Linked DNA regions of Mytilus edulis. The main gene of each other region encodes a partner of the protein of the gene in region 4 in a complex. Links are inferred from orthologs where the notes say so. Each region holds a gene or a part of one and is shown on either strand. Other genes may lie near its edges. The genes, in order: protein SEC13 homolog, GATOR complex protein Iml1-like, GATOR1 complex protein NPRL2-like and GATOR2 complex protein MIOS-like.

Region 1 (8,682 bases), on a different chromosome or scaffold from region 4:
GACCTTCAACAATGAGCAAAGCCCATACCACATAGTCAGCTATAAAAGGCCCCGATAAGGTCAACAGTTTTGCAGACCTGTTTACCCACCATGATGTCTATCAGTAGAATTGTCAGTAGTTTGAAATGCTGTCAGTAATACCCTTCATGAGTGCTGTGAAGCGGCATGAACCATCTAGGGGGGTTTAGGGGCATGCCCCCCCCCCCCCCCAAGAAACTTTTGAAAAACTAGGTGCAATTTCCTGCATTCTGACAGTATCTGCAGTCTTATTCAGATATTTTTGCAACAAAGATTATAACCTAAAATTTGCATGATTTTACAAAAAGTTGAGTTAAAGTTTGGAATAAGTCAAAACATGCAAATATTAAAAATTTCATTAATTATTTAATCTTGTACTGTTGTACAACACATTAAAAATACAAAACCTCAAAATAATAATTTCAATAGGGACAAGATTTCAATACTTATGACAAGAAATTTAATTGCCATTGAATGAATATAAATATTAGCAAGTTACTTTCAATACAAAGTTGCCAACAGATTAAGGGTTTAACAAGGTACTATTGTAGATCATATTCAATTCATAGTTCAGAGTTCGCAGGATCTTTGTTCAGTTCGTTTTTTTCTAACACAAGAAAAAACTTTTCACAATGTGCGATACTGTGGTGAATTTTCATAATTCCAAACGCTGGCATCCTGATTCATGCCGTCCATGAAATATACTTGATCGCTATCATTTTTGCCCTTTAAAGAGCGGTTATTCCCAGTCAAAAAAGTGCCTTTCAGACACTGATCGCCGTAAACGAAAGCAACTATGATTTTTTCACCGATTGTTAGAAAATCTGTACTTTTTCATGACGAATCCGTATTGAGTAATTTTATTAAAAAATCTGTGTAAAATATTGACAATCCATACACGTAAACACCTTTGTTTTTGCTCCTAGAATTTAGATTTAAAAAAGGAGTTAATTTCTTAATTTTGGAGATTTATATTCAAAAAGGAGGGTACCCCAAAGAAAAGGAGCAACTGTATCCTCATTTGGCTTCAAATGGATAATTGTTTCATTGCAGTGGCAAACATACCACATCTCTTTATTTTTATCTTATTAATACACACTCAAATAAAAAACACCTACATGTATGAACTAAAAATGTATATTCATGTGATATGTATGTATTCTTACCCTTGTAATTCATTTATAAGTGTCTGTTGGCCATCTTTAACATCAAATATTTTAATGGTTTTGTCTGATGAGCAGGTAGCTAGTTTTGTTCCATAGTAGTCAAGCTGAGCATCATGCTGAAATAAATAATTGTTTTCTACAATAATTTAACATAATTTGAATGATAAAGAAGTTATTTACTAGTATATTACATGTATACTAAAGAGTTCCAGAATTTGATGCTAGACGAGGGCCCTATGCATTCATTATTTAATAGAAGACCATAATTTAACAGCGATTACATTTGTTTTGTGTTAAGCCCTTTCTAGAAGACCTTGCAACTTTGATGATGTGCTCAAATCTGAAATATTTCTAGTTTGACATATTAGCTGAATTATATATGTTTATTTTTTAAGGTACATTGTATCACAATAAATACACTGCTAGTACCAGTAAATATATTTTGGTTGTCAGTATTTTGCTCGAGTTAACATGGTTAATTTTAAATTGTTTTGACTACATGTACAATTGCGTCAAAAGTTAAAGCGGCTGGGTCAGCCGGGATAAGTGCTAAGGTGTATTGCAGTGCTCACATGATAAGTTAGTAAACTTTGTTTGACAAGTGTCTTTATTCATTTTCTGCATTTATCATGTTTATGTAAATGCATTAAAAAAAACCTAGCATTTCTGATCCAATGACATGTTCTTAAAATTTTGTATTATTACTTACAATCATATCTTCATGAGCTGTATCTATAGAATTGATGACGGAAACCTGAAATAGTTAAAACAAATTATGATTATCTTAGCAAACAAGTTATATAAAAAAGAAGATGTGGTATGATTGCCAATGAGACAACTATCCACAAAAGACCAAAATGACACAGACATTAACAACTATAGGTCACCGTACGGCCTTCAACAATGAGCAAAGCCCATACCCCATAGTCGGCTATAAAAGGCCGGTATCGGGACCGTTCGCCCTAGGTCCGTTCGTTCGCCCAGAGTCTGTTCGCCCTACTATAAAAATATTAATATTCAGGGCATTGGAAATTGAATAAACTTATTCAGATATTTCTATGGTATATATATCATGTATATTCTTGAAATTTATGGAAACATTGAAATATTTAAAAGTTTATGGCTTGTTTTTGATCATTAATTGTTCAATTACAAAATAATACGGATAACTGATTATTGTGAACCTTGTCTTCTGATGGATTAATAATAAAAACAAACGTTTTATTTTGATAAAATATTCAGCTTGAAATTAATAAAACTAATGATGTACGAACTGTAAATTATGAAACGGATTTACAAGACTAGTTCATTTATTTATACTGCATACTTTCGTGATTGACTGATTACAATTATTTTGTTAACAAATATCAATAAAGATAAATACATTGTATTCCAGTATTCTACTCTGCAAATCAAAGGGAAAATGATAAATTGATTGCTGCAATATAAATATTCTGTCAATTTTTCAACAAACTTTAACATAATTTGTTCAAACACTTAAAATAATGCGACTAGACAACAATTAGAAAAAAATAATAATCAGGGCGAATGGACCCTGAGCGAACAGGTATCAGGGCGAACAGGTTCTCGGACGAACATGAATCAGGGCGAACGGACCCGGATTCTAAAAGGCCCCGATAAGACAATGTAAAACAATTCTACGAGAAAACTAACGTCCAGTAGTCATTGAGTAGACTTGTAATTGAGAATGAAAAAGTGTCTCACTGTTGTTATATCATAAACGAATTAACTAAAACACAATTGATGATACTAAAAAATACTATATTTAAATTATATATAAAGACTTATAAGTTCCCGGTCTCATAACACTAAACACTAACAGATATATTTTGTGTTAGTCTTTGTATACAAGCAGTATAGTTAGCAATATTTTCACCTGTAACCTACCATTGTGGGTTTGTCCTGAAGTAAAGTATTAGCGTGTTTTGTCTATTTTAAATGCCTCAGAATGTGCCAGGCTTAAGTTTACATGTCAACACGAACGTGGCAAAATTTACTTCCGGTAAAACTGCAAAGTTATCCCCCCTTCAACCGATGGGTGAACCTTTTTCAACAGTGGCGTATTCCGGATAAAATTCATAGCATGTTTTTAAATAAATAAGTCCTCGGGTCATTATTTTCTATTTCTGCCCATTTATCTATTTCTTTTTCTGCCCATTTATCTATTTCTTTTTAACTTATTGTGCAAACAAAAAATGTCAGCAAAAAACTGTTAAGGGAGATAACGCCATCATCGGTATTTATTTCTTCATAGCTATACAATTTTCTCATACTTTAGTTTAGGAACCAAAAAATATATTTTACCATTTTTTTTCTCTTAAAAAATAAAATAAGAGTATGGTTCATCAGGTATTGAGAAAGTCCCTGGGTGAACCATGCTATTTTTCATTCTGCAATTAAGTCGAGCAATATTGGATAATTATATCAAGGATTTGTATATCCAGAGACATATATATATGTCTCTGGTATATCTATAGTAACTATACAAATCTTTGATTATATGCATTCTTCATCAATGATGACATAAATCTTTGATGCGAATGAAAAAAAATATAAGACAGAATTTTGAAATAAAATATGAGAAAATGTTTTTTTTTTTATAGTATTTAGACCGATGAACCACCTTTTACTTCATCTTTATCCAGGTATAAGAATACTGCCCATTTCTACATAAATCAATTATGAATTTAAATATGTACTCCATTTATAGAATTAGGACAAAATTTAGAGAATGTAATGTAGATTTATACACTAATTTAGATAATGTGTTGCATAAAAATGTTATTTAATTACATAGTTAGAAGATTTTTTATTTGAAAATTAAGATAAATTGGCATAATAGAATATTGTCACAAAATGTTGGAAAAAAATTACGCACTTATAAATTGTTTAAAAATGTTTTTGAAACAGAGATGTATTTGAGGAAGAACATTTCAATACGATACAGAAGTGCAATTTCTAAATGTAGGTGTGGCGTTGCCCCCATTGCGAATAGTAACAGGTGGCTATGAAAATAAAACTGTAAATGAAAGAGTTTTCTTTGTGTGCAATGATAAAATTGAAGATGAGAAACATGTGCTTTATATGCAGATTTACATGAAATTTTAGTTTATGAAGTTAAAAGAAGTAATGGTGATTTTAATATTTAATCTGATGGTGATATATATCTTTTTAAAAATACTGATTGTTTTGATGTGGTTGCCAAGACCTGCTTTAACAATTCTGAGACTACTATAATGTTATAGTAGTCTCAGAACAATTTAAGTAGAAAAAATAGTTTTTTATATGCTTGGTGCTTGATTGATGCATGGTTATGTTTTTATAAACTTGAAATTTTTTATAGACATGCTAATTGTAGTTGTATGGTTTTACATAACAAAAATGTTTTTATAGACATGATAAATATATAATTATAATTTATATTGATTTCTATAGTCTCTCATAATTCTTTATAGAATGGCACTTGTATTTTAATTTATAAAATTTTTGTCTTATTCAATGTATATATTATGATGATTGTATTATATGTCTTACAAGTGGTGAGACTCAAATAAAATATTGAATCTGAATCTGAATCCATTTACGCGTTTAGTGAAAAACAAAAAAAGTTATAATTGCTCTAATGAGGTGTTGGGTAATTAACGATAGAATAATCATAAAATGACATTCTGATCACTCCAAGCCAAAAGACAGCTCGTCAACTTGTCAACGGAAATCTACCGTTTAGTTAAATTGTAAGAAAAAGATCATGTCCACGTCAACAATATTTATGAAACTGACAGACCAATTTTCGGAATGTCACAACTTTGGAACTTTGGGATTTTAAAATTTCTTAATCAGAAATGAGCGTATAAATATCCCAAGCCTAGGTTTCAAATCATTTAAACAACCAAAGCTTACAAGACATACATGATGGCATTGTTTACTAGTTCAACTAAATGTCAAACTATGGTAGAGGAAAAAGCCAATTTATTATCCCAAGATAGTGAAAATGAAGGTAAGTGTGTTATAATTTGTATTTTCACAATTTAAAATATCTGTTAAACGTTCGTCGAGTCTTTGAACATTCTAATCGTAAAGCTAGTGTTAATAAGAAAACTTGAAAAACATATATTAAAGTAAATTCTTCATAGAAAAACTATCACCATTACTGAAAGTCTTTTTCTTCTCGTTTTGTATTTTCATGTCTAAAAAGTTATTCATATACAGGAAATTATATCTTGATATTTTCAATTTCTGTGTCATTTGGTCCCTTGTGGAGAATTGTCACATTGGCAATCATGTACCACATCTTCTTTTTTTTTATATTAAAAACAAGCAGTAGTTAACCAAAAACAACTGTTTTGAAACACTCTTGGAATATCTTTAAAATTTTTAATCATTTTGTATTTTTAGACTTTTCATCTGGATATGATTCACCAGAGTACTTCTCTGATCAAGATACAAAAAGAAACTGCTCCAACAGATTACAAATAGTCCCATTATCTGATAAATCGGACATTTCATCTGCTGAATCGATTCCGTTTAATGATTACTCATATGAGGATGACGACATACATAATGATAACGATATTGCCGATTCGATGAAAGTAACCAATGTGCATACATTGATCGATAACATTCGATATATTTTATCGATGCCAGATTTATGCGATGTTATGTTTATCGTAGGCCCACAAAGAGTTCCCGTCTATGGACTGAAGGCTATTTTAAGCACACGAAGCAGGTAATTGTCTAAATTAATAGATGTTGATCTCCAATACATTTGTACATATGTAAATAGTTTATATGCATTTTCTCAATACAGTCTCAAATTTGGACGAATTATATCATATCGGTTTTTTGGTTTTTTTTTTTAAATTGTCCAAGAAATATAACAGGTCATTATGATAATGAATTGAGTGCGTCTTTGATTTTAGGTAATTTTAAATGCCATCTGTTTTATAGAAAGTTGAAAGAAAAACAACGAGTTTCGCTTGAAGTGAGTCTTCTAAACAATGGAATATATTCTAAACCGAACTACTTTGCAGCTATAATAAACCATGTATTCTTAGTATAATAGTTTTCTGGGAATAAATTTTAAATCTTAATTTCCATTTCTAGGTTATTTTTCGTTATGTTTTTGAAATACTCAAAAGAAGCATTGAAACAGAGAAAGAAAACGAAGATAACGACGCACATCCAACCAGACCAGAGCAACAAATTGACTATGACTATAGATAATTATGATGCTGATATATTCCGTACATTTTTGTTGTTTGTCCATTGTGGAACAGTAGAAATAGAGCCATCAACAGTTACTGGTAAGCATAAGTTGTGAACTCGCTATAAACATCGATCGATTGATAGAAGAAAGGGGGAGGCTTTTCTCAAATAAAGTGTAAAGTGTTTTCCTTTTTTTCACACTTTTTTTTTTGTATCAAGACAAAAATTAAACAGTTCTAACTAGTAATCTGAAATAACATTAAAAATGTTTTGAAATGCTAATCGCTACTGATCTCATTTTAGGGCTACTTTGTTTGGCTACGGAGTTTGATATTCCCGACCTGCGGAATTCATGCTGGGAATTCATAGACCGATGCCTGTCAGTGCAATCTTTTTCTACCGTATTGATGAAAGAAACGATCTTTTATGGCGACCACAAAGCTGCACAGAAACTTAGGATTAAGGTAAAATTTAAATTTTATTGTAAAAACTTATGATTGATTCTGTGTAATGTAAGTGCATGTAGGGGGAAAAAAGGGGGGGGGGAGGTAAAGAAAAAAAGAAAAACATTTTAGTAATTAATGGATGCATATAAGTGTATCGGTTAAAGATAAAAAGAAACTGAAAAAAAACCAAAAAAAACAGTCTAAGTATCAAGCATTCTCCAACAATATTTACAAGCCATTTTCACGTGTTTTTGTTTTTTTTTCAGATTTTGAGAACTGCAACAAAGGCATCGTTAACATCTTCATCTGTTTTTTAAGAGATTGAATTCCCGTAGCACTGAACAAGATCGCGGTACCAGCAAAGAGACATAAGTTTGAATTTATAGAATTATCAATTTTAGTGCTATACTTTGCATTCTAGTATGAATTATACAGATAACTATATATGATTGAAAATACAACTATAGAAATGTTTATACATGATGTATTCATAGTGCTTATAAAAATAAACGTTTACTGCTTTTGATTTCTTTATAGTTGCCAATGGCCTGAACTACTTTATTGAACTCCTTTATTGTTGTACTTTTCGCCGTGCCTGACTCGCATTGTTGGCATATCAAATTTGTCGTGAAACTTACGCATTAGAAACATAATTTTGCTAAATTTCAGTAGCATTGCTAATCTAATTTCGTTTTCCAGAAATTCATGTTTTCGGTGTACGAATACGTCCATCGCAAACAAACAAAAATTGATAAAACATCCGGGGTTGTTACTATTTCCGTGCACAGGGAACTTAATTGTTGAAACCAAAATAGGCTTACAGCCGATTTTAAAGAGAGTGTAGGCAAAGGCAATACATTTGGTTTGCTTAGGTAAAGTCAAAAAATTTGGTTAGCTTGCTTAACCGTGAAGTAATTGTTATGTTAGGTAAACTAACCTCCGTTAAGAGTAGACTAGTCCAACATTTACCAATCTATCTGTATGTAGGACTAGACTACTTCGAAATGAGGGTAGCATACCTTACAAAACAATGACCTCACGTTTAGGCTAACAAGCAAGCTAACAAAAGATATTACCTTTGACTACACACTCAATGGAATCGGCTGTAACAGTAAAATAAGGCTGCAGGAGTAAACAGCTGATTTGTGTTTTACAAATAAGTAAATATCTTGTTATACGTCAATGAGAAAGCAACCCAACGACATCAACATGTGTGTCCATTATTTAAACAAGAGTGCACACGCTGAAATGTCTCGCCTTCTATACTAATCATTGATATTATGTTGATAGTCCTAAGTATAAAGCTAAGCTTTATTACAACTGTCACATAAACTTAACATTAACCAAGATAACTAAACAAAGACCAATGAACCTTGAAAAAGAGGTCCAGGTCAGATGAACCATGCCAGGCAGACAGGTACAGCTAACAATGCTTCTATACAACATATATAGTTGACACATTACTTATAGTTTAAGAAAAATAGACCAAAACACAAAAACTTAACACTGTGCAATGAACCGTGAAAATGAGGTCACGGTTAAATAAAACCTGCCCGACTGACATAAAGATCATAAAATATTTCCATACACCAAATATAGTTGACCTATGGCATATAGCATTAGATAAAAAGACCAAAACTCAAAAACTTAACTTTGACCACTGAACCATGAAAATGAGGTCAAGGTCACATGACATTTGCCCGCTAGACATGTACACTTAACAATCATTCCATACAACAAATATAGTAGACCTATTGCATATGGTATGAGAAAAACAGACCAAAACACAAAAATTTAACTATAACCACTGAACCATGAAAATGAGG
Region 2 (8,055 bases), on a different chromosome or scaffold from region 4:
ACAAACTCTCTGGGCGTACTGTACAACAACTCTAAATTAGAATCTGTTAGAAATTTATATGTAATATTTGGTTTTCTAAGCAATCAAACGAACTTAAAAATTTGATATTACATTGTTAAGAATGCATACTATTCATCATTTTCTGTGTCATTTAATCTCTTGTGAAGAGTCATATCATTGGCAATCATACATCAGATCTTCCTTAAATTTGGTCTCTGGTATAGTGATTTCTCATTTGCAATCAATCCACACTTTTATAAAATCAATTTAATGGGTAATGTCATTGATGTTTTTAACCTTGGGAGTCTGAAATATTGAATTTAAGGAAGTTACAAAATCTTCATAGACAGATCTAGATGTATCAAGATTGGTAAATCTATTGTTTCTGTCATATTTGTCACTGGGCACAAAAATCTAGAAACACAAATGTTTAATAAAATGGTGTACCTTTCTGTTGAAATTCACCAGTCACTGTTGTCACCTGTAGCAGTAATCGACTAAAATTAGAATAAGAGCATACATTAAATTACAATGTTTTAATTCTTGAATAATAAATATAGGCAAACAAAATCTAATATCTAACAGACCCCTTCTGATGTTGTTGGGTTGTTTCTCTTTTATGTTTACTCAACATCTTCCTCTTGTTTCTTTCATCATACTTATAAATATTTTCAGTTAAAATTAATTAATGATTTCATAAACATGATAAATCAACTCTTTTTTCCAGAATTACTTTCATAACCTATAAACCTCATTTGTCAAAATTCAATAACTTCTTATTTCAAAAATCATTTTACATGTATTAAGCTAAATGCCTATACATGTACATGAATTAAAACATGTAAAGTGAGTAAGGAAGTAAAAAACATTGAAAAAAAGTCCACTTAGTCCAGACATTAGACTATCATCAAATGCCAATTACAAATGAACATATACATACAGGGGTTTACACAGTGGAACGAAATAATAAAACAGCAATACAATTACCGTAACAATTATCATCACTGATACCACGACTGAGTTCATGATAACTATATATATATATTAGTTATTACAAAGAATTGTTAGGTTATCTCCCTTACTTGATGACACTTACCTATTATCACTATCAGAATGATGAATCTCTAGAATATCTCGGAGAACAACGTCAGGAAAGTCTTTAGGATTGATCAAAATATCATTTCCTAAAACTAAAATAGCAAACAAAAAAGTTTATAAATAAAATTGGGAATGGAAATGGGAAACGTGTCAAAGAGACAACAACCCAACCATAAAAGATCATAGAACAGACGACAGCTGAAGATCACTAACAGGTCTTCAATGCAGCGAGAAATTCCTGCACACGGAGGCGTCCTTCAGCTGGCCCCTAAACAAATATATATACTATTTCAGTGATAATGAACACCATACTAAACTCTATAATTGTACACAAGAAACTAAAATTAAAAATAATACAAGACTAACAAAGGCCAGAGGCTCCCGACTTTGGACAGGTGCAAAAATGTGCGTGGTTAAACATGTTTATGAGATCGCAACCCACCCCCTATACATCTTGCCAATGTAGAAAAGTAAACGCATAACAATACACACATTAAAATTCAGTTCAAGAGCCTGTAAATTGAGACTTGTCATGGTTTACTTTTATAAAATTGTTACTTGGAAGTTGTCTCATTGGCACTCATACCACATCTTCCTATATCTATGAACATTGTTTTTTCCCAAAGTTTTATTTTTATTGTGGATGTTTTTTTGTAGTGGGAAAATCCCTCAAACGTAAGGTGCTTGTCATTTTGAAATTCTTAGAAATATGATTTGCATGACCTGTTTTGTCTGCCACTAAGATTGAGTGAGGGGGGGGGGTGTAGGAGGGGTCCTGATCTTGAAAACCTGGGCTTTAAAACACGATATTCCTGAATTTAAAAAGATCTAAATACCTGCATCCCGAAATTGGAAAAAAAGAATTCCCGGATCCCATAAGGGTCAATCCTGAAATTCCGAGCTTAAAAACACCTGTTCCCGGAATACTGATAAAGGTCCTATCCCCTTCATTGATGACGCTTAATGGAATGTACACAAAGCTATAGAGGTCAGAAGTGGAATTTGTGAAGTTCTGAAATGTTTTAGGAATTTGGAAGTCAGGTTTTAAACAGCCATTAGAAAATTGGCAAGTTGGCAATTTTTATAAAATACTTTTGAATAACTATGAAAACATATCTCTAGATTGATTGATTGTTGGTTGCTTGACGTCCAGTGGCAAATATTTCATGCATATTCAGGACGACATATCTTTAGAAATGTTCTTTTATTTAGAAGAGTAGAACAAATGTATTCTGCACTAATTTTGAGAGTTGGTATTAGCGTAGTGGAGTCAATGCGGAGTTTTCCCGTGTAATAAGTACAATAACAAAGTCTGAATGAACCAACAAGACGACCGATTATACACTACAGTAGGATATCTTAGATTATTCTGGGAAAACACCATAAAAACCTTTAGGATATTCAGTATTATCATACCTGTCAACTCACCCGTTTTTTGCGGGTGACACCCGTTATTTTCACCTCTCACCCGGGAGTTTTTCTTTACCCGGCGGGTCCCGGGAATTTCTAACATTACCCGTTTCACCCAGATTTCTGACCGGAATTGTTTCCGGTATTTAGAAGTAATACGACCTTCGGTTTTATCGGTCTTTTTCAATGTAACCAAAAGTCAAAATGTAGGACTGTTTACCTGAGCTACGTAACGATATGAAGAGACAACACAGCTACAAGATGAGTTCAGTGACTATCAGTTGACCCCATTAGATGAACTTCCACTTTGCACTTCCCCTGAAACTGACATTGGTACATTTTGGGGAGAAATGTCCAAGTTGCATGACATTTTTATTAACAAGCCAAAATTTTTTGTTTTGTCAAAACTTGCTAAAACATTACTGGTTTTGCCAAACAGCATTGCAGACAGTGAGAGGGCATTTTCTTTAGTAAAGAAAATAGCTACAGAGTTTAGGGCTGATCTTAATAAGGATACACTGTGTGCTCTTCTTTCTTGTAAAATGAATACACATTTGCATTGCTATGAACTGAAACCAAGTGCAGTTCTTTTAAAGAATGCCAAGTCTGCTACTATGGAATATAACAATAGTCTGAAATAAACTTGTATACATGTTCTAACTGTTTCATATACATATTGACTATATAAATTATATGTAAACATATTTTTCTTCTTCAATTGAGCCCGCAAAATGTCGTACGCGTTATGACCTGAGATTTTTTTTCTCAATGCAGGTCATGACCTGACTTTTCATTTTCAGAGGTTGACAGGTATGTATTATGTTACGTCACTACAGCAATACAACTTGTATATTTATTAGTATTATGTAGATGTAGATAGATTAGCCATGACTAAATTACTATCTTAACTATTAAGTCTTGCTCTCATACATCACGCACTTCTAACCAAACTCGAAAAAAGAAAGAAAAAGACCGAAAACGTTGCACAAAAATAACCCTTTGCCACCCTCTTTTTTTTTGCAGAAAATAACAGCCTTCCAAGATGTCATGAATAATTTCAAAATATTTGTCATAATTTGACAGAACTTCAGAAGAGACAGTGCTACATTGCAAATTAAATTACTCATGTACACAGTACAGTTGTAACGAATGCATGGTTTGTAAAAAGATTTTGAAATGAATTTAAACAAAAATCACGAAATGTCATTTACATGCATCTTGTGGATTTCTTTTATGGACATGAAGCTTTTTTATCTTTTCATTCTCCATTTCATTTTGGTGGCGGTTTTTTCGTACGGCGATGGATAAAGTCCGAGAGAAACATACGAAATGCATGGTCTGCAAAACGCTTACATTTACGAATTTGCGTAAAGGGAAAATAAAGAGAATAGCCTACATCGAAGAACAAAAAATGAACTGTCTTGTAAAAAATCTTTGCAGAAAACATTTACTTTTGCTAACAAAATGTAATTGAAATTATTGAATAAGTAGCAATTTTTTATCATTTTCGATATATGTGATTATTTCAGTTGTTCTCACGGTAGCAAAAATCTCTTAGAAAGATATGATTAGGGATCAAATCGGCACCTATGTATAAAAGTCATTTCGGCATAATTTTTGCCAACGGTTAGACAATTCGGAACCTAACATATGTTCAGCTTTTCCTTCCACTTTATTTTAGGGTGCATTCTGTATTCAAGATTTGTATAGTAACCTTTACAATATATTTTATTTTTAGTATAAAGAATGATCAGCTGATATCTTTTTCATTCTACTTTCATTCTCGATAAGCTGAAAAAAAATTGTTGGTTTCCGGTTCTCTAACTAACGTTTGCCTCAACTAAATGTGATGAAACTTATACATAATGCTTATTACCACATAACACAGATCAAGTTTGGATTTTGGTGACATCATGTGCACTTAAAGGGGCACAAACTGTCAAATTCATTTTCACCGAAATGAACACAATTCTCATATTTGATTTATAACAATGTATAAAAACATTTATCAAAACTACATGCATTAAAAGTCTAAAATAAACAATAAACAGGACACTGGCATGAAAAAACATAGCTTCGTTTTGTGTGTAGTTTAGTCCATACACCATCCAATTAACTATAGAGTTGACCTCTAAAGTCATCTGATGACCATACATGCGATGTAAACATAAATATAAATATAGATAGATGGAGCTAACTCGTGCTGTTGGATTTTTCTAGGTCTATTTACTTCATGTTATAGATTAAAAATTCATGTTTATCCTTTTTTTTACCTGTATAAGAATGATTGTGTTTGGATCAAATAAGTCAATCAAATGATTTACCTTTGTTTCACTTTCAATGTTGACATTAATTTCCTTTAAATAACTTTACACATATAATTCACATGTTATCCATCTCAAGCTAAGGGGTTAAATTGAAGTTCACATGAATACAGATTCAATGACATGAATGAGGTAGAATTATTCACTTGCAAGTGATTGAATCATAATCAATGTTTTTTAGCTTATTTTCACAAAATTGAACCATATTGGCTGCTAAAAGTGAATTATTATTTCTCTATTTGCATTTCATTAATGATTGAGCAAAAGAAATAATGTGTTAGATTTTTAATGTATCTCGTAGCTAGTGGTCCTTTATCATGTTTATAAGTGGAAATATTGCTGATTTTTTAGTTGCCGTTCTCTAATATTAGTTTGCCTAAATAAATGTTATGAAACTTACACACAATGCTTATTACAATACAGATCAAGTGTGAATTTAAGTAGTGTCACTTTAATATAACCATTCTAGAGTTATGCCCTTTATAAATAAAATGAAAATATGATGAATATTTTTTTCCATCCTTGATATTTTTTCAGTTCTTAAACTTAAGTTTGACTCAACCAAATGTTATGCAACTTATGCAGAATACTTTTTACCACAAAACTCTGATCGGTACAATTTGGGTAGCATGATGTTTTGGAGTTAAGTATTGATGTACATTTTCACTGAACTACATGTAGTACACATTGTTATTAAGGGGCCAGCTGAAGCCTGCCTCTGGGTGTAGGATTTTCTTGTGCGTTGAAGACCCATTGGTGGTTCAGTTGTAGTTGTCTCATTGACATATTTCCCATTTCAATTCTCTATTTTAGATCGGTTTCTGATTATATAAATTACCTTTAAACTACATGTTTGTGCTCTATCTGTCTACCTGTCTGTCTGTCCATCTGTTATTCAGGCAAATAAGTTTTTCCACAATTTTTTCTTTGCTTGAATTCGAAGATATTGGTCTGATATTTGACATGTTTGATGATACTTTTAAAGTATCTTTAGTCATTGTTAGTTGGAAAACTCACTTCGACTTTCCTGTACAATAAAAAGATGATTTGAAGTAATAAAAAAGGGGATTTTGTGTTATATTCTGACATGTAGCTAATTAGATAATTTGATTATTTTTCAGGGTCAGAAGTGACTCAGGTTGCCACATACATGAAGCTGAAAATGCCAGAAAAGGAAGAAGGTAATTTTGATTGATAATTAAACCTTCTGCTGTATTTGAGATTTCAGTGTTTGGCTCATTTAAAAATGTTTTTATGCCCCACCTACGATAGTAGAGGGGCATTATGTTTTCTGGTCTGTGGCTCCGTTCGTTTGTTTGTCCTGCTCCAGGTTTAAGTTTTTGGTGAAGGTAGTTTTTGATGAAGCTGAAGTCCAATCAACTTGAAACTTAGTACACTTGTTGCTTATGATAAGATCTTTCTAATTTTAATGCCAAATTAGACTTTTGACCCCAATTTCATGGTCCACTGAACATAGAAAATTAAAGTGGGAGTTTCAGGTTAAAGTTTTTGGTCAATGTAGTTTTTGATGAAATTGAAGTTCAATCAACTTGAAACTTAGTACACATGTTACCTATAGCATAATATTTCTTATTTTAATGCCAAATTAGATATTTACCCAATTTCACGGTCTATGGAACATGAAAAAGGATAGTGCAAGTGGGGCGTCTGTGTACTTTGGACACATTCTTGTTTTATAATTTATTAGTACATGTATCTTAAAAAATCATAAACATGATAAGAGTAAACATGGTACAGTTACAATGTCAAGGAAACATTTTAAATTCACTGCAAACAAAGAATTAGTATGTTTTATAAAAAGCATTAAGAAAAAGTATTGAATCAAATATATACACACAGTATAAGTTATGATACAGAAGAATGTAATCAGAGAAGAAGTTACTATTTATAATATTGATGGTACTACACATGTATTGCTTAGTTTGAAAGGATCAAGATCTAAAACAATAAGTATAATTCTACCACATTAATGTTTCCTGTTGCTGTCACAAATTAAGACTTTTTTATGACATTTGTGACTTTTAAAAAAAAAATGTTAACTCATGAATTTGAGTTGAGTTTTGTTTCTGACAGTTATTCACAACTTGTATAGAGTGACTAAGATGATTTGTATCTTGACATATTGCTTTATAGATATGATCTACTTTTAAAGACTGTTTGATTCCTTTTTAGATGTCTATTTATTATTTTTTTTATATAAGGTTGATGTCTTTTTGACATGTACCCCAAACATCATTTTATTCATGATTAAGATTTATTCTACCATCTAAAGCATTGTCAGATTTCACCCTGTTCAATCACTGCCTGTTATCCTAATATGTTGTATCTACCTTCAGTTACATTTAAGAGCCACCTTAATGAACAATTTCAATCACTGTCTGCAAATCTAAAAAGTTATATAACTGCATTTAAATTCAGAAATAAGAATTTTATCTAGATGATTAAGCACGCTCACTTAATTATAACTTGCTGGTAACAATACATTTTATCCTGATTTTAGAAGGAAAAATCAGTTATTGACTTGTGGATGTTCTGCGAGAGGGCACAGGGGTATCCATATGGCAGGCTGCCAAACAGTGTCCATGCATTTACTCATAAACCATTCAACCAAAGCTTTTTAAATTTTAATACATTTTTACTGATGACAAAATGAAGGTCAAGTTCAGTATTGACGATTGTCACTTTTACTTTTTATGATCAGGAGTTGTGGTCCTTGAAAAATACCAGAACACAAATAATCAATAAAAAAAATCTGGTTTGCTGTTGCTCTAACAGCCTTTTGTTAGACTTTAATGTAGTCTGTGTGAAAATTAATATTACACATTATGATATGAATCTTGTTATATTACAGATTTAGAACTACCTGTAAATAGACTAAGGAGTAAACTGTCACAGTTTGACAAAGTACCACAGAACCCAATTCCTTCTGCTAAACCTCCTACCATGTCTAAAATGTTGGACCATATGAGAGGGCCAGAGATGGTCAATAACAAACTTATCTACGGACAATTTGGAATACAGGTATTTAAAAAGTTACAGATATATGTAATAAATTAAACAAAAAAATACACCTCCCAAAGTCATAGTAAGGTGAACTTTGAAATATAAAAACCATTACAGATAGAACATTTTAAAAGAAATTACCAAGAAAAAGAAAATGCTACTCTGCATTTCATGGTAAAAACTGAGTTTAACTTACCAA
Region 3 (8,170 bases), on a different chromosome or scaffold from region 4:
CCTATATAATATAAGACTTCAGAAGTTAATTATATCAATTACATTCAACATTTCTTTATTGGATGTTTTTTTTACCCATCAATTCGTACCTGCCAACATTTCAAAAAACTCATGGGGCATTACGTACAAGGGAAAACAACAAGCAAGGCAAGCTGTACACTAGGGTTCCTGAGAAGAAACCTGCGCCAGTGCCAAAAAACTTGCCTACGTAGCCATGGTAAGATCCGTACAAGAATATAGTGCTGTCATCTGGGACCCATTCACCATCAGGGAAATAGAAACTGTGTCACTCACCTTTGTCTATGTGCATATCAAACAAAGGACACAGATGGATTCATGAAAAATTGTGTTTTGGTGATGGCGATGTGTTTGTAGATCTAACTTTACTGAACATTCTTGGAACTTACAATTTTCTCTATCTATAATAAACTTTGCCCTTTAGAAAAATTTACATAAAATTTATTAAAAGAGAGACGAAAGATACCAAAGGGACAGTCAAACTCATAAATCTAAAACAAACTGACAACGCCATGGCTAAAAATGAAAAAGAAAAACAGAAAAACAATAGTACACATGACACAACATAGAAAACTAAAGAATAAACAACACGAACCCCACCAAAAACTAGGGGTGATCTCAGTTGCTCCGGAAGGGTAAGCAGATCCTGCTCCACATGTGGCACCTGTCATGTTGCTTATGTGATTACAAATCCGGTAAATAGTCTAATTCGGTAAGTCACATTCATGAAAGGGAAGGGGATTGTAGTTACGACGTAAGGAACATATCCTATATCATTTGTGAAACGGTTATTCCATAACGGTCAACCAACTAGTGATGGCGTCCGTAAAATTTACGAAGGGATGATTTCAACTTCACCATTTGGAACTCTTGGTTTAATAGCTTCCTTGTGAGCAGTAACCCTCTATCAAGAAAATCATGATAGGAAATGCAAGCACAGGAATATCGTATCAATTGGGAGATATATACCCCATATGCAGGTGCTGCTGGAATGTTTAAATTAGTGAAAGTTGTTAAAAATTATTGTTTCAGACGAGAAGATTTTTGTAAAAGATAACAAAAATTTACGAAAAATTGTTAAAAATTGACTATACAGGGCAATAACTCCTAAAGGGGTCAACTGACCATTTTGGTTTTTAGATCTTACTTTGCTGAACATTATTGCTGTTTACAGTTTATCTCTATCTATAATAGTATTCAAGATAATAACCAAAAACAGAAAAATTTCTTTAAAAATTACCAATTCAGGGGCAGCAACCCAACAACCAGTTGTCTGATTCATCTGAAAATTTCAGGGCAGATAGATATTGACTTGATAAACAATTTAACTTTGTAAGATTTGATCTACTTGCTTTGGTTTCAGAGTTATAAGCCAAAAACTTCATTTTACCCGCATGTTCTATTTTTAGCCATGGTGGCCATCTTGGTTTGTTGGCCAGGTCACCACACACATTTTTTAAACTAGATACCCTAGTGATGATTGTGGCCAAGTTTGGCCTAGTAGTTTCAGAGGAGAAGATTTTTGTAAAAGTTAACAGCGATGGACGACGGACACCAAGTGATGGGAAAAGCTCACTTGGCCCTTTGGGCCAGGTTAGCTAAAAATAGAAAGCATACAGAAAAGAGGAGCACGTTTCATCCTGCACGATTATAAATCCAGACACCAGGTGCGTCACAAATATGCTTTCTAAGCCAAAACTACCACCTCTTCAAGAACGAAGGAAACATCAGAGGCTGACTATGTTCTACAAAGTGGTTGAGCGATTGATCCAACTTATTACCTGCAAAAGACAAGAAATAAACGCCAAGTCAAGGCAAAAAACTTTAGTGACTTTCAATACTCAAACATCGTGGAAAGACAAGAAACTAGAAATAGCAGTTCATACAAGTTAATAGACTGCAAAACAGACATTCGAAAGAACTCTTTTTTTCCAAAAACAATAGTAGAGTGGAACCATCTGGACGAGAAAACTGCATGTCAAAAAACAGTTGAGTGTTTCACGGCTGCCCTCCAACGGTTGGACTAACCAACCCGCTCTCCTTCTAGTGCGCATACATGTATATCCGCGATTGGATCCTGCACTGTGTAAAATACAGATACAGAAACAGATACAAGATGGCTAAGGTCCTAAATTTAAAGAAATTTTAATCCCGACATCCCAAAATTAGAAAAAAGAATTCTTGGATCCCGAAAGTATTAATGCCAGCTTAAAAACTTGTGAAAACACCCTGTCTCAGAGTCTCGATAAAGGTCCAACCCCCGCCCCCTCCTTTCTCTGAATAAACATCACAGGCACTTGTTTCTACTGTTCTATCCATGGGAAGGTCGACTGTGCATATATATGGATAGTCGACCTTCCCATGGATAGAAACAAGTGCCTGGATAGGCGACCTCCCCATGGATAGAAACAAGAGCCTGGATAGGCGACCATTAAGGTTCATCATAACCTTTTGGCTAAAATGGCCGTATTTACACCCCAAATTTTACTCTGAGTACAGACTAACCTATACACCTGCAACAGTTTTAAGGGATGGCAGGAACTAGATATATAAATTTTAAATGCATTTTATGTTTCAGAAAATTATAAACTTTTCTAGGTTTTGCTATCCATTTTTTTTCGTTCCTGCAGAAGGTGCAAAAATTAACTAAGTAGTGAAAACGATTGAGAAGCTCCCCTCATATAATCAATGTTGTGAGTAGTATTGATTTAAATGGACAATAGATGGACAATAGACACCTGTAAACAATAGGTTATTTAACAGGTTTAAACTGTGTAACTGAGTGGACCGTATCAAATGAAACTTGGGTGTTTGTTTATTTTGCTATCTTCTGCAGACTGGAAAAAAATGAACATCAAAATCCAGGTAAGTTTTTAATTTTCTGAAACGTAGACTTCATATTTTTATATATCTAGTTCCTGCCATGCCTTAAAACTTTCCTGGATGTACCAGTTTGTCTGTACTCAGAGAAAAATTTGGGGTGTAAATACGGCCATTTTAGCCAAAAGGTTATGATGAACATTAAGGTTCATCATAAGGAATTGAAAAATATGGCCGTGTTTACACCTCCAAAATTACTATGAGTACAGACAAACTGGTACATCCAGGAAAGTTTTAAGGCATGGCAGGAACTAGATATATAAAAGTTATATGAAATCTACGTTTCAGAAAATTAAAAACTTACCTGGATTTTGATGTTCATTTTTTTCCAGTCTGCAGAAGATAGCAAAATAAACAAACACCCGAGTTTCATTTGATACGGTCCACTCAGTTACACAGTTTAAACCTGTTAAATAACCTATTGTTTACAGGTGTCTATTGTCCATCTATTGTCCATTTAAATCAATACTACTCACAACATTGATTATATGAGGGGAGCTTCTCAATCGTTTTCACTACTTAGTTAATTTTTGCACCTTCTGCAGGAACGAAAAAAAATGGATAGCAAAATCTAGATAAGTTTATAATTTTCTGAAACATAAAATGCATTTAAAATTTATATATCTAGTTCCTGCCATCCCTTAAAACTGTTGCAGGTGTATAGGTTAGTCTGTACTCAGAGTAAAATTTGGGGTGTAAATACGGCCATTTTAGCCAAAAGGTTATGATGAACCTTAAAGCATCATGATACAAATTTTATGTGTATCTCACAATTTTCACAGGGCAAAGACATTTACAGTATGTGCATTTACTTGATATTTGATCTTAGGACCAGCAGTTGGATGGAATTCTGCAAGGCACATTCCCTTTATCATTGTTTCAAATTTAATCTGTAAATGCAGGGGAATATAAGTAAATACAAATGTAAATAAACTAAAAAGTTGTCTGCAAGAAGGGAGGTAATCGAAAAATATCAGCTGATTATTGAGGTTTTACCAAAATATGACCATCAATACCCGGGAACGGAACCAGATATGTCTGTAGTGGCCTGTCTGTATTGTCTGTATTGGTACATGTAGAATCCTATTTAGGCATTTTTTAAACATAACTTCTAATAAACTTAAGGTGACTCGGGCGTGCTCCTCCATCTATTATGTAGCAAGAAATCAAGTCCGATGTTGTATTTGTTTTCTCTTGATGTGAACATGTATACTGTACAGTGGCGGATCCAGAAATTGGCCCACTGACTGACCTAAGAGGGGGCCCGCTCCAGTCACGCTTCAGTGATTCCCTATATAAGCAACCAAATTTTTTCCCAAAAAGGGGGGGGGGGGCGGGCCCCCTGCCCCCCCCCCCCTAAATCCGCCTCTGCTGTATACTTTTTTTACTATTTAAAATTTTGGTTAAAACATATAGCAAATTTGAAATGATATTAAATTTATGTTTATCTAAAGAGAAAATGAAAATGATCCACAACAAAAATACAACCAAATTTGCATATAAAACTGTGACAATTCTGCTTCTATTTGCCGCAGGCTATGCCCCGAAAACGATATTTTCTTTCAAAGTCGATCTTCGCTTACATAGGATATCTCTGTTGGAATGAACGTAATTAAATGGCCATTGTTCTATATAAACTTGGTATCTGTTAAGTAATTTCTTCGTAGTTTCCGTTTATCGCTGGGTGCGCAATGACTCAGTCAGACGTAAAGCACGTTATTGCGTCAATACCGCGGTGTAATCAACCAGTCCACACTAATAAACAGCTTTTCACGCTGTAAAATCATAACAGTTAAGTTATATAAAATTGATAGCTATAGACTAGATAGGCATAAATCATGACTATTCCGGAAAAAAACTATAAATTGTTTTATCATAATTTTAGTCTAAAATGATGACAACATATTGACAAAACGTCAAAAATATGCGTGTCAGACGTAAACAGACTGTACGAATAATAACTTTAGCAGGTTTGTTTTGTGTTCTTCAAAACAGTGTTATATCCGCGAAAATTCGAATGAATCAGTGGCGGATCCAGAAATTTTCATAAGTGGGGGCCCACTGACTGACCTAAGAGGGGGCCCGCTCCAGTCACGCTTCAATGATTCCCTTTATAAGCAACCAATTTTTTTCCCAAAAAAGGGGGGGGGCCGGGCCCCCTGGGCCCCCCCTCTAAATCCGCCTCTGCAAGATGTCCAATGTCGGAATTCGCCGCTTTTTACAAATAAAGTGTCATTTAATTGCGACGTTATTTATTGAAACTTTAGAATCCTTGCATCCTAAATAGTGCTTTTCCGTAATTGAACTTTTTATTAACTCTACAAAACAGTCAGCTACATACTTTTTGATACTTTGCGCATTCAAAACGACTTCGTTTTCAAAGAAATTAAATGTCTTGCAATTTTGTCCACTGGACGATTTTTATACGTTTTCTACGTTGTCGATTCGAGACGCTATTCATGGTTGGAAATCATCTATTTACATTTCCTCAGATAAAATTTCATTGATAGTCAGATACTATAATTATCAACAATACCACAAAGTATAAAAAAAATCGATGACTGGGGTTGTTCGTTTAGATGAGGTTAAGTGGTGAAAAACTTACGAGAGAATAAACAATCATCTCTTTCAAATTTTCAAATTTGGGAAGCGTAAAACTGTGTCTTTTTTTTTTTTATTTCTCTGCAATACGATTCATATGTATAGAACTTGAAAGCCGAGAAAATAAAATTGGGCCTAAAGCGTGGCTATATACCTTTCCATATCAAACAAAGCTTGTAAAGTCATAAATGGACTTATATTTTTTTTACAGTTAACATGAAAATTCAGCCTGGGGTTGAAGTGTAAATATGATTAAGCCATTTCAAAAGGTAGAAGAACTTGATTCTTCATGTCCTTGGTCCACTTTTTAGTTTAATCAGTTTTCGTGCTCAAACTTAAAAATTTAAATGCAGGTTCTTTGGCGGCCTCATGCTTCAGATTTTACTGTTCTTTAAATTTTAATAAGTTAAAAAGAATTCCCTTGAGGGCAATTCATTGTTATCTGAGCAAATCAGTTACATATTTTTTTGCAATACTTTTGTCAGGTGAAAATATTTGGCTACACGGCTGGTTACTCAAGTGTGAAGTGAGTAGATTTGAGTGTATAAATTATCATGTGATCAACAGGTTTGAATTGGGCTTTATTTTAGTTTAAATTGATCTTTACTTGGACAAACTCCTGTGTTTTTCCTTAAAAATTTTGGGGACATCAGATGAGTTCAAAGTTATAGAAGATTTAAGGTATCATTTATTTATCATAAATTTCTTTAATGTGATCTGTTTTGTTTGATTTACTTCTAGATATGTTAAACATCTTCTTAATGTCTGTGCATGTCTATATATACAAGCTTTACTTGAGTTACAGCATAGAGCTTTTACTTTAACCATTTAAGATTCATGATTGATTGTTGGTTGCATAATTTCCAGTGGCAAATATAACAAAAAGAATAGAGCTCACATTCATGTATCTGTCTTGGGAACAATTAACAGTTTAACCAATCAAATTTGGGTAAAGTTTTTGAACTGGTTGGCAAAACTTACTGAAAACGTCTATGTTGAAAACCTTGTATTGTAGGGTCAATAGACTCAAAAATATTGAGTCTATGGGAGCAACATTGCTAAATCAAAAAATTTCCCAACAAAACTTTAGGGAAGGTATGGGTACAGTAAACACACATACTTTTTGGTTTGCAACATATTTTCTGGAATAATTTTAATATTAAATGTTTCTTTTCAGTACTTTGACACTACAAACTTAGTTATCTAAAAAATCTAAATTGGTATTCAGATGCATCTAGGAAAGCAAGACAGTATATCAACTTCATTTCACAAACATGTTGATTTTCTCTTGATACAGTAGACCAAGCCTTGAATACAGGTATAATCAAATAGTTTATTACAAAACTTAATCATTTTTTTTTTTACCATCCGGATTACTAGCAGGTTTATCTGATAATATATTGTACTATATGTATATTAACAATTAGATTGTTAGATTGTTTCTGTGATGATCTAAACTAAATATACCTAAAAAAAAAATTCATAAATGTCTGAGACCGAAAGCTTCTGGATTAGTTTTTTGATGATGAATTTCTCCCAAAATTCTTCTTGATAAACTTTTCTCAGATTTGACTACTATTATGATTTGGACATTAAAGTATACAACGGTATTCATCTTTGATAGACCTAGTGCTACAGTTTAATAGGTAAACAAATAATATGCACACAGGAATATCCATCCAGAATACAAAATCAGTACATAGACAGCATAAATAAACGAACAAAAGAAAGGAACAGTGCTTTTATTGCTGTTCTTCATCTTATACATAATCAATTTGCACAAAATTTATCATTTTCACTCAAAAGTTTGAATAAGTTTTAAAAAAAAATTAAATGTATGAAAATATACTTTTTGTTGCTATTGATATACAAGTCATTTATACAGACATACATTTTATCAATGAAATTTATCATTATAAGTTATAAATAAGGTAATATAAGTTAAGTACACTTTTTTAGCTCACCTGGCCTAAAAATGTGTCCAGTGACCTGGCCAACCAACCAAGATTTATAAAGAATGATAAATAATATAGAGTTTTAAGTTCCATTCTTTCATATTTATTAAAAAGAAATGATGTTTTAGAGGAGCCAACAACTGAGCAGAGAGCAGAAGAGAGATTGATGACCTTGAAGAGTAAGCAATGTGAACAGTAAGCCAGCTGTTAAGTATATCTGGGGTTACCAAATATTATGGTAAGAACCTCATCTATAATCAAACTTGGTGAGTATTCTTTTTATTGGTTAGATATTATGCATCATTATAAAAAAAAGGGGGATGTAGGGTATAAATCAACAAGGCAGCTACCCAATGAAAATAAATAACCAAAGACATCTACAGGTCTTCAACTATAGACTGATGTTTATACAATACATGAACTTGTAAATCATCCAAAGTCTAAAAGATTTGTGAATAAAATGAACAGACTAACAAATAACTTACATACACACCAATATCTGACCTAAGCACATGAGCATGTTGCAGGGTGAAACTTTTTTATATAAAGCCCACCCTTTTTGTGCAATGCCTAACCAAACTACAAAATTTCATACAAAACACTTTTCAAATTGAAGGGTTTCAAATTTTGAATAAGCTAATTTGTTCTTTTTAAAAAAAAAAATGCCAGATGCAATTAACAAACAAAAAATTATTTGGAAATCTTGACTCCCCCGC
Region 4 (8,019 bases):
ACAATTTACCGAGGGAGAAACAGTAGCTGTACGCGACTACCGTGGACCAAATAAATGGACAAGTGGACTTATAACCAAACGTGAAGGACCGTTAAATTACCAGGTAGAAGTTTCGCCCAATAGTATCTGGAAACGTCATGCAGACCAGATACGAAACTCAGACTTTAACGATAAACAGGGAGAAGAAATTAAAAATGACAAAACAGTTGAAATAGAGATAATTCCGGATGAACCAACTGAGCAACCGGCACAAGATCTCCAACCGAAACATCAAGACAGTGAACAACCTTTGTCAGAACCAATTCAGAGAAGATATCCGTTGAGAACCAGAAAACCGGTTACCAAATTAAATTTGTAATAATGGTTGTAGTGCGTAAGGGTAATAATAATTCCCTTTGCAACCTGTTATGTGTGATTGTGTGCGCGAGAAAAATAAATGTTTTTCTATGGCAATCACTAGGGATAAATATTTTGAATGCATGATATTAGAGTTTTTTTGTAGTTAACGTTTTTATTTACACATAGACAGTAATTATTTTCTTTCATTCATTCTTTCCACACGTGCTTTATACAACAGATTTTTATCAATGACCGAGTCAATGACCTTATCATTTGTATACTATAACTTTACTATGGAATTCGAAAATTAGAAGGGAGGAAATGTTATGTCTAATTGAAACTGACAATACAAACTATTAAAGTTACAACGAATCGTTATCAAATGAACTGTAATCTCTAAAGTGATGAAAACCATATGGCACCGCCTATACCGTTATACTTACCACAGTTGTCGCGATATATAATATGTAACTTGCTTGATTATTTTAGTGTAGAATAAAATGCTAATCTAAACAGATGCCTTCTACCTCAATGTTATACTTAGTAATACATAACAGAGGACAGTAAGTTTATATAGTAAAGAGGAGACCTGTATTGTTGAGCCTGAAGTTAGATGTACATTGTGTTATACTTGAAACTTTGTTAAAGTCGTGTGATTTTAATAGCACAGAATTGAACTTTTATTCGCCTTCTTATTTATGTTCACTACAAGACTTCATTCAGACTGCACCAGGATCCATTTATTTATTCATAAATGTGACCAGGATTCCCTTAATCACACTACCAGTAGATTTCAAGGGCAACCCTGTTAAAGAGTATACTTGGCATATCTCGTCCATTTACAAGTGAAAGGCACGACCTGAAACTTATATACCCAACAACACAGCACACACACACAGATACGCACTTTAGTTCAAGTCCCAGCTGAAAAACAATAAAGCTTGTGGCTTAGATTTTATAACTAATGAAATGCTAAAGGCAAGTGCCAATAGTTTAGTTCCATGTTATAGAAAATTATTTAATTTATGTCTTAACACAGGAAAATATCCCGAATGCTGGGCTGAAGGATACACTCTACCCCTTTTTAAGTCAGGGGACCCAACTGATCCCTCAAACTACAGAGGCATCTCAATTACATGTGCAATTGGTAAACTTTTTAATACAATCTTAAATGATAGACTTGACAAATATTTATTACAAAACAGTCTAATTACTGAGTTTCAAATTGGCTTTGTTAAAAAGTCCAGAACATCTGATCATATGTTTTTGCTTAAAAATCTGATTGACTCGGTACTTTCCACAGGTAAAAAATTGTATGCATGTTTTATAGATTTTAAAAAGGCGTTTGATTCAGTCATACATAGTGGTATTAAATATAAACTATTACAGATGGGATTAGGAGGAAATTTTTACAACATTATAAAGAACATGTACAATGTTAGCTCAACTTGTGTCAAAGCTGGGAAAATTTTAACTGACTCTTTTAGAGTTAAATTAGGGGTTCGACAAGGTGATAACCTAAGCCCTAATCTTTTCAAAATTTTTATAAATGACTTTCCATCATATATTGATAATGTTGATGATGATCTGATTTTGGGTGATACTAATATTAATTGTTTAATGTATGCTGATGATATTGTTTTGCTCTCTACCACATCATATGGTCTTCAATCTAAGTTAAAAAATGTTGATAAGTTTTGCTCTGACTGGTGCTTAAACATAAACACCAATAAAACAAAAATTTTAGTATTTAATAAGCAAGGTAGACTTATCAATGAAAAATTTACTCTTCAGCAAGTTGAACTGGAATGTGTACAGCACTACAAGTATTTAGGCCTTATATTTTCGGCTTCAGGAGTCTTCTCTCATGCAAGACAGGAATTGTACAAAAAGAGTCTAAAAGGCTATTATAAATTATGCAAAGATGTTATTCGTTCACATCCAAAAATTACTACCAGTCTACATCTATTTGATCACATGATCAAACCTATTTCTTTATATTCCTCTGAAATTTGGGGTACATTTAACCCAAAGAGTAGTAAATTTAGAAATGATATAGTCTTAGATAAAATTTATTCAGATCTTGAACCAGATAAATTACACATGAAAATAACAAAATTTATTTTGGGTGTAAACAGAAAGAGCAGCAATTTTGCTGTACTCTCTGAACTAGGTAGATTTCCTATTTATATTAGTATTGTGAAAAATCTACTGAATTATTATTTTAGAATTGAAAATATGCCTGAGGACTCTTTATTATATAAAGCCTTACAAACCTCTAAAGATTTAGATGATAAAAATCACAATAGTTGGTATAGCAGTGTCAGACACTTATGTAAAATTATTGACCTGCCTAGTAACTCCATTAATTTTAGTAAATACAAATTCAGAAAATGTTTACTTAATTGTTTAAAAGTATCCTATGTCAAATCTTGGGAAAATGCTTATAGCCAAAATAGCCAAGGAAAACTAAGAACATATTGTCAGTTTAAAACATCATTTTGTAAAGAAAATTATTTAAATATCTTGAAAAATTTTGATTTGAGAAAAGCTATCACAAAATTCAGGATTTCATCTCATAGACTTAAAATTGAAACTGGGAGATATTCCAAATTAGAAGTTCATCAAAGAATTTGTGATAAATGCAATTTGAATAAAGTGGAAGATGAACTTCATTTTCTTATAGAATGTCCTGTATACTCTAAGGATAGAGACATGTTATTTGATCTGATATTTAAAGAATGTAAAAAATTTTACTCCTTGGATATGGTCAATAAATTTATTTGGCTATTAAACTGTGAGTCTATTAATATTTTAAAACAACTTGGCTATTTCTTATCAAAACACCTGCCTTGAGTAAACATTTATAATATAACACTGGGATACTGTAAGTAATATTTAAAATGTCTAACTTTTTAAAGCATACTGTTTTGTTGTTTTGCTTTATTGTATTTGTAATTGTTTGTAACTATATATTGTCATGAATGTATATGCACTATGCCCCTTGAGGGTACCTCTTATGGAAATAAAAGATATTCTATTCTATTCTATTCTATTCTATTCATACTAAACTTTTTCGTCACACTAATTACTAATACAGTTAAAAACAACTGATAATTTTCGTGTATCATTCACGTTTCATTCTGGATCATATGACAGTTTATCATAAAATCAAATGCGGATAGGCGTAGCCTACGAAGGCCTATTTGTCTACATGTCCCAAGCATGCAGATACGTGCAGTCATTGTCAATAAAGTATTGCTTAATAAGTGTTATTTGATTGATTTTAATCTTTTTTAGCCTATAATTACTGTAAAGTGTAAGTTTTCATAATCATATGAATAAAATATATTCTTCTGTAAATATTTCATTTTGTTCTGCTTATATTTTGAGTTTGTGATTTTTACCTGGGGCTGTCAATATTGGTCCCACTTTTACTCTATTGATCCCTATTGTACCCAGTTTTTAGTTTTGACCCCAAAAAATCTCTGACTTTCTATTTCCGAAAACGAAAGCAGATGGAGTAACCTCCCATGCAGTGTCGTAATATTTATTTTGGTGAACTTAAAAAAAAACAATAACACGATTTAATTGTTTATGTAAAATATAGTATTTTTTTGTATATCCTGCTGCAACAACATAATTTTTTACAATATTATCATTCATCATATCGTAACTGTTTGTCGTAAAAAAATTCTGGCATTTCCGGCGTCATGTTTCTGTGGTAGCCGTTTCGCCGTTTTCATTTCGTACTTGTTTTTAACAGAAAAGTGGAATATGTTGCTTAACTTTAATTATGGAATCATCTCTTGCTCACCAAACATCCTTTCTATATGAGAATTTTTCTAGTATTTTACTAGGACAAGACATGGCATCAAACACAAGGAATCCTAAAGAAATCAGAGAAATGGTTTCCGACAGCAATAAGGTGAAAAAAAGTAAAACAATGAATGAAAGTGTAGTGTTTAAAGGAGTAGGTCCAGTAAGACCCCTTTTTGGCCCCAAAATATAGCAGTTTTACAAAATTGTTCAAATGTAAACTTTTAGTAATTTATTGGACAGAAGAATGCTTCTGCTACATAAACATGGGCCGTTTTTGACAATACAATGAAAATATATCGGGTACTAGCACCACAAAGTCATGCTAAATTACTGAAATCTTCACAATTCTAGCATTTTAGTTGAATTTTAGACGCTTTTCGTGTAAAACGAAAGTGGCCGCATTCATCATGTTCATGTTCATCCTTAATATTAAAATGTAAGTTGTATTTTATGATAATACATAACATATACAAAGGTTGAGGATGAACACGGATGCGGCCACTTTCATTTTTGACAAAAACCATCTGAAAAGTGACATTTTTCGGCATATTTGGTAGATTTTTCATATTTCAGCTTGAATCGGTGCGTTTTTTTATGATTAAATCAGTTAAAATCTTTTACAAAAACAAATGAATCAAATAAAATAGACACTTAAGTGTTTAAAAAGTGGTCAAAATCATTCGTCAGATGAACCTGAAATTTGAGGCCAAAATCGGTCCTTACCGGACCTTCTCCTTTGGTAAAATATCTGTTTGTATGTAATGATAGTGATAAACTTTTAAATGGAGCTACTGTTTTCATCCGGGTGTCTATACAGTCATGACAGTTACCAAATGATAAAGAGATGGAGACATGAATACAAATCTATATACAAAGAAAAGGTCATAATGGGGTTGCACTAATGACAGGATGACTGCCCGGATCATGACAGGACGGTTGACCGGACGACATATATATAGTCATAACTGTTTTGTTATTCAGTAGATTTGTTTAATATTTGTAGACCTTATACTATTAAAATATATTTTATGAAAATCAAACAAAATAAGTGAAAAAAAATATTTTTGAGCAAATATAGTTGACCAGATGGTATTCACACTTGCCTTTAAATGCTATACATATATTCAACTGGTGGGCAACAAGTGTTAATATCTCTTTTGTTTTACAATAATATTTGTCCAAGAAATTCAGGAATCTGTGAAATTTATAAATAAATTATACGAAAATATAAATTTATAGTAAAAAAAAAAGTTTTTCTTCTAAAAAATTTGACGAAATGGTATTCACATTTGCCGATATATGCTTTAAATATATTGAAATGATCAACACAAGTGTTAATATCTCTATTGCTTTACAATATTCGTCTATGAAATTCAGGAATCTATGAGATTTATAAATATATTATACGAAAATATAAACTTCATGATATTCTGCCAAAAAAATTAACCGGACGGTCTTCACATTCCTTGATGTACACGTTGATTATACATGTATGTTAATATAAAAAAAATTAAGGATAAACAATATTTAAGCAGCTGATTTAAGTCATGAAAATGAGAAATCTGCGACATCAATAATTATATGATATGAAAATATAAACTTTCTTGAAAAAAATATATTTTTCTTCAAAATAAAGTTGACCAGACTGAGTCATATTCGCCGATGTAATTTAACAGAGACATATGATACAAGAGATTCAAAAATCTAATGGAGTCTATAGTTGTAATTTATGTGTCTGGTTTTAAATATATTAACAGGATCAACTTTATATTTGTGTCGATCATTTCAATACATTTAAAGCATATATACATGTATGACGAATGTGAATTCCGTCCGGTCAACTTTTTTTTGAAGAAAAACATTTTTATGTAATATAAAATTTATATTTTAATATCAAGTATTTATTGTGATCTCGTAGATTTCTTAGTTTCGTGTAAAAATATTGTAAAACAAATAAGATATAACACTTTTTTTTTATCAGTTCAATATAATTAACGCGTACATGTACATTAGAGAATGTGAATAATGTCCGGTCAACTTTTTATGGAGAAAAACATTTTTTTTACTTTGAAGTTTATATTTTCGTATCCAATATTTATTATTCTCACAGATTCAGGAATTTTGTTGACAAATATTGTAAAACAAAAGATGTATTGATGTATTAACACTTGTTGCCGACCAGTTGAATATATAATGTATAGCGTATAACGACGAGTGTGAATACTGTCCGGTCAACTTCATTTGCTCAAAAATATTTTTTTCACTTATTTTGTTTGATTTTCATAATATATATTTTAATATCTTTAAGGTCTACAAATTTTAAACAAATCTACCGAATAACAAAAAAGTTATAACTATTTATATGTCGTCCGGTCAACTGTCCTGGGGGCAATCGTCCTGTCATTAGTGCTTCCCGTCATAATGACTTATTTGCAAGCAGTGAACAATCATTTATCAAAAACAAAACAAAACAAACAGATTCTTTTCAATATCTGTTTTTGATAATGTGATATCATTCAAATAGAAAGGCAACAAGGGTACTATAAACATATTACTTTTTGATGAAAAATTGAAAAAAAAACACTTTAAACAACAATTTCTACATCTTACGGTTACATTTGGTTACATTTACGACAAAATTTATGTCGATTAAAAACCTCCTGATCTGAGTCCTAATCTGACATGTATGTGTTGTGGAGGGGGTATTTGGACTTATCACCATGATCACTATGTGACAGGAATCTGGGTCCATTTCCCTAAATCAAATTCGCTCCAATTTAGCATTCGCCCCCATACATGTTACCACCTCACACGTTTGCACCCTATGAACAACAAATGATGTCGTCATCCAAAACATTTATCACCAAAAAAAAATTCATTAGAAAAATTCGCAAATATTTATTCATGAAAACTATTTTGATATTATAATTGTATAAATAAACCAATTGTTCAGACGTTTCGGCCATTGGCCTTCTTCAGTTATTTATTATTCCTCTAAACTACATGGCTGACATTTCTTTTTTCAAACATTGATATTATCAAATTATTAATTTGATTACCGGTATATACATTACATTTTAAATACATTGTAGCATCTAATAATTCAACAGGAATTTGAATAAAAATAGGGTATTATTGAACCCACTGACAAATGTGCTGTTTTATGATGTCCATTGAATGTATCATTGTACAATATCAATTTCAAAGATCCATGACAGTCTTCCCAAGTTATTTTTTTCCAAATCATGTTAGGGTACATCTTTTTACCACAGAACCTTATAGAACTCATGCTATTTGGGAATCTGCGACACTTTACCTGAAAATTGAACTATTGACATCTTTTAAACAACAATCCCTTTTCCTTGGTAAAAATATGTAGCATTGTAAGATAACAGACATGTTTTATTATGACATTAACATTTACAGAAACCTAAGCAGGGTTGGCAAAACTGCTTGTTTTATGAGTATTGCCCAGCCCTAGACCGATAAATTTGACATTCTAATATGACGTGCTTCTTTCGCTTTGTAAACAACACCGTGATAAAATTCTCGATATATCTATACTTAGCGCAGACTCCAAGATGTACACAAATGGCTGTTTAAATATGCCTCCCACGTAAATCCACATGTATCCTAACCTATGTGTAACCGGTTGTGGATTTCGCTGTGTTAACAATTACAATTGAATAAAACCCTACAGAACATTTATTCTGATTCTGACGCATAACAAAAAGAATTTACACATTAGAGAACGGAAAAAAGGACAAAAACAAAATAAATTAAAATTCCACGAAATTCCAGTAATGATTTTGGCGCATTAACGTCATTTCTAAACATGACGTCATACGTATGAAAATG

What was found.
Region 1: GATOR2 complex protein MIOS-like (region 4) and protein SEC13 homolog share a complex: the UniProt entries of both Drosophila melanogaster proteins name them as parts of the GATOR complex. The link is inferred for Mytilus edulis from reciprocal best matches to the Drosophila melanogaster genes mio and Sec13.
Region 2: GATOR2 complex protein MIOS-like (region 4) and GATOR complex protein Iml1-like share a complex: the UniProt entries of both Drosophila melanogaster proteins name them as parts of the GATOR complex. The link is inferred for Mytilus edulis from reciprocal best matches to the Drosophila melanogaster genes mio and Iml1.
Region 3: GATOR2 complex protein MIOS-like (region 4) and GATOR1 complex protein NPRL2-like share a complex: the UniProt entries of both Drosophila melanogaster proteins name them as parts of the GATOR complex. The link is inferred for Mytilus edulis from reciprocal best matches to the Drosophila melanogaster genes mio and Nprl2.

What each region holds. Positions count from the first base shown.
Region 1 is NC_092344.1:35,865,031-35,873,712, forward strand, and holds the start of protein SEC13 homolog, read right to left. Parts: upstream 3,241-8,682; 5' UTR 3,096-3,240; coding exon 3,093-3,095; intron 1,939-3,092; coding exon 1,894-1,938; intron 1,301-1,893; coding exon 1,185-1,300; intron 1-1,184. Other genes in the region: serine-enriched protein-like, read left to right, coding at 5,789-5,931, 6,309-6,508, 6,714-6,874, 7,123-7,173. UniProt on the Drosophila melanogaster protein: Functions as a component of the nuclear pore complex (NPC) and the COPII coat. At the endoplasmic reticulum, SEC13 is involved in the biogenesis of COPII-coated vesicles.
Region 2 is NC_092349.1:82,684,693-82,692,747, forward strand, and holds the start of GATOR complex protein Iml1-like, read right to left. Parts: upstream 3,816-8,055; 5' UTR 3,778-3,815; coding exon 3,720-3,777; intron 1,191-3,719; coding exon 1,097-1,190; intron 498-1,096; coding exon 448-497; intron 1-447. Other genes in the region: large ribosomal subunit protein uL16m-like, read left to right, coding at 3,920-3,974, 5,954-6,013, 7,705-7,874. UniProt on the Drosophila melanogaster protein: An essential component of the GATOR subcomplex GATOR1 which functions as an inhibitor of the amino acid-sensing branch of the TORC1 signaling pathway.
Region 3 is NC_092344.1:56,140,147-56,148,316, forward strand, and holds the start of GATOR1 complex protein NPRL2-like, read right to left. Parts: upstream 3,876-8,170; 5' UTR 3,774-3,875; coding exon 3,711-3,773; intron 1-3,710. UniProt on the Drosophila melanogaster protein: An essential component of the GATOR subcomplex GATOR1 which functions as an inhibitor of the amino acid-sensing branch of the TORC1 signaling pathway.
Region 4 is NC_092345.1:104,524,769-104,532,787, reverse strand, and holds the start of GATOR2 complex protein MIOS-like, read right to left. Parts: upstream 3,888-8,019; 5' UTR 3,747-3,887; intron 359-3,746; coding exon of another isoform or gene 1-358. Other genes in the region: uncharacterized protein, read left to right, coding at 1-358; coiled-coil domain-containing protein 89-like, read left to right, coding at 4,136-4,267. UniProt on the Drosophila melanogaster protein: An essential component of the GATOR subcomplex GATOR2 which functions as an activator of the amino acid-sensing branch of the mTORC1 signaling pathway.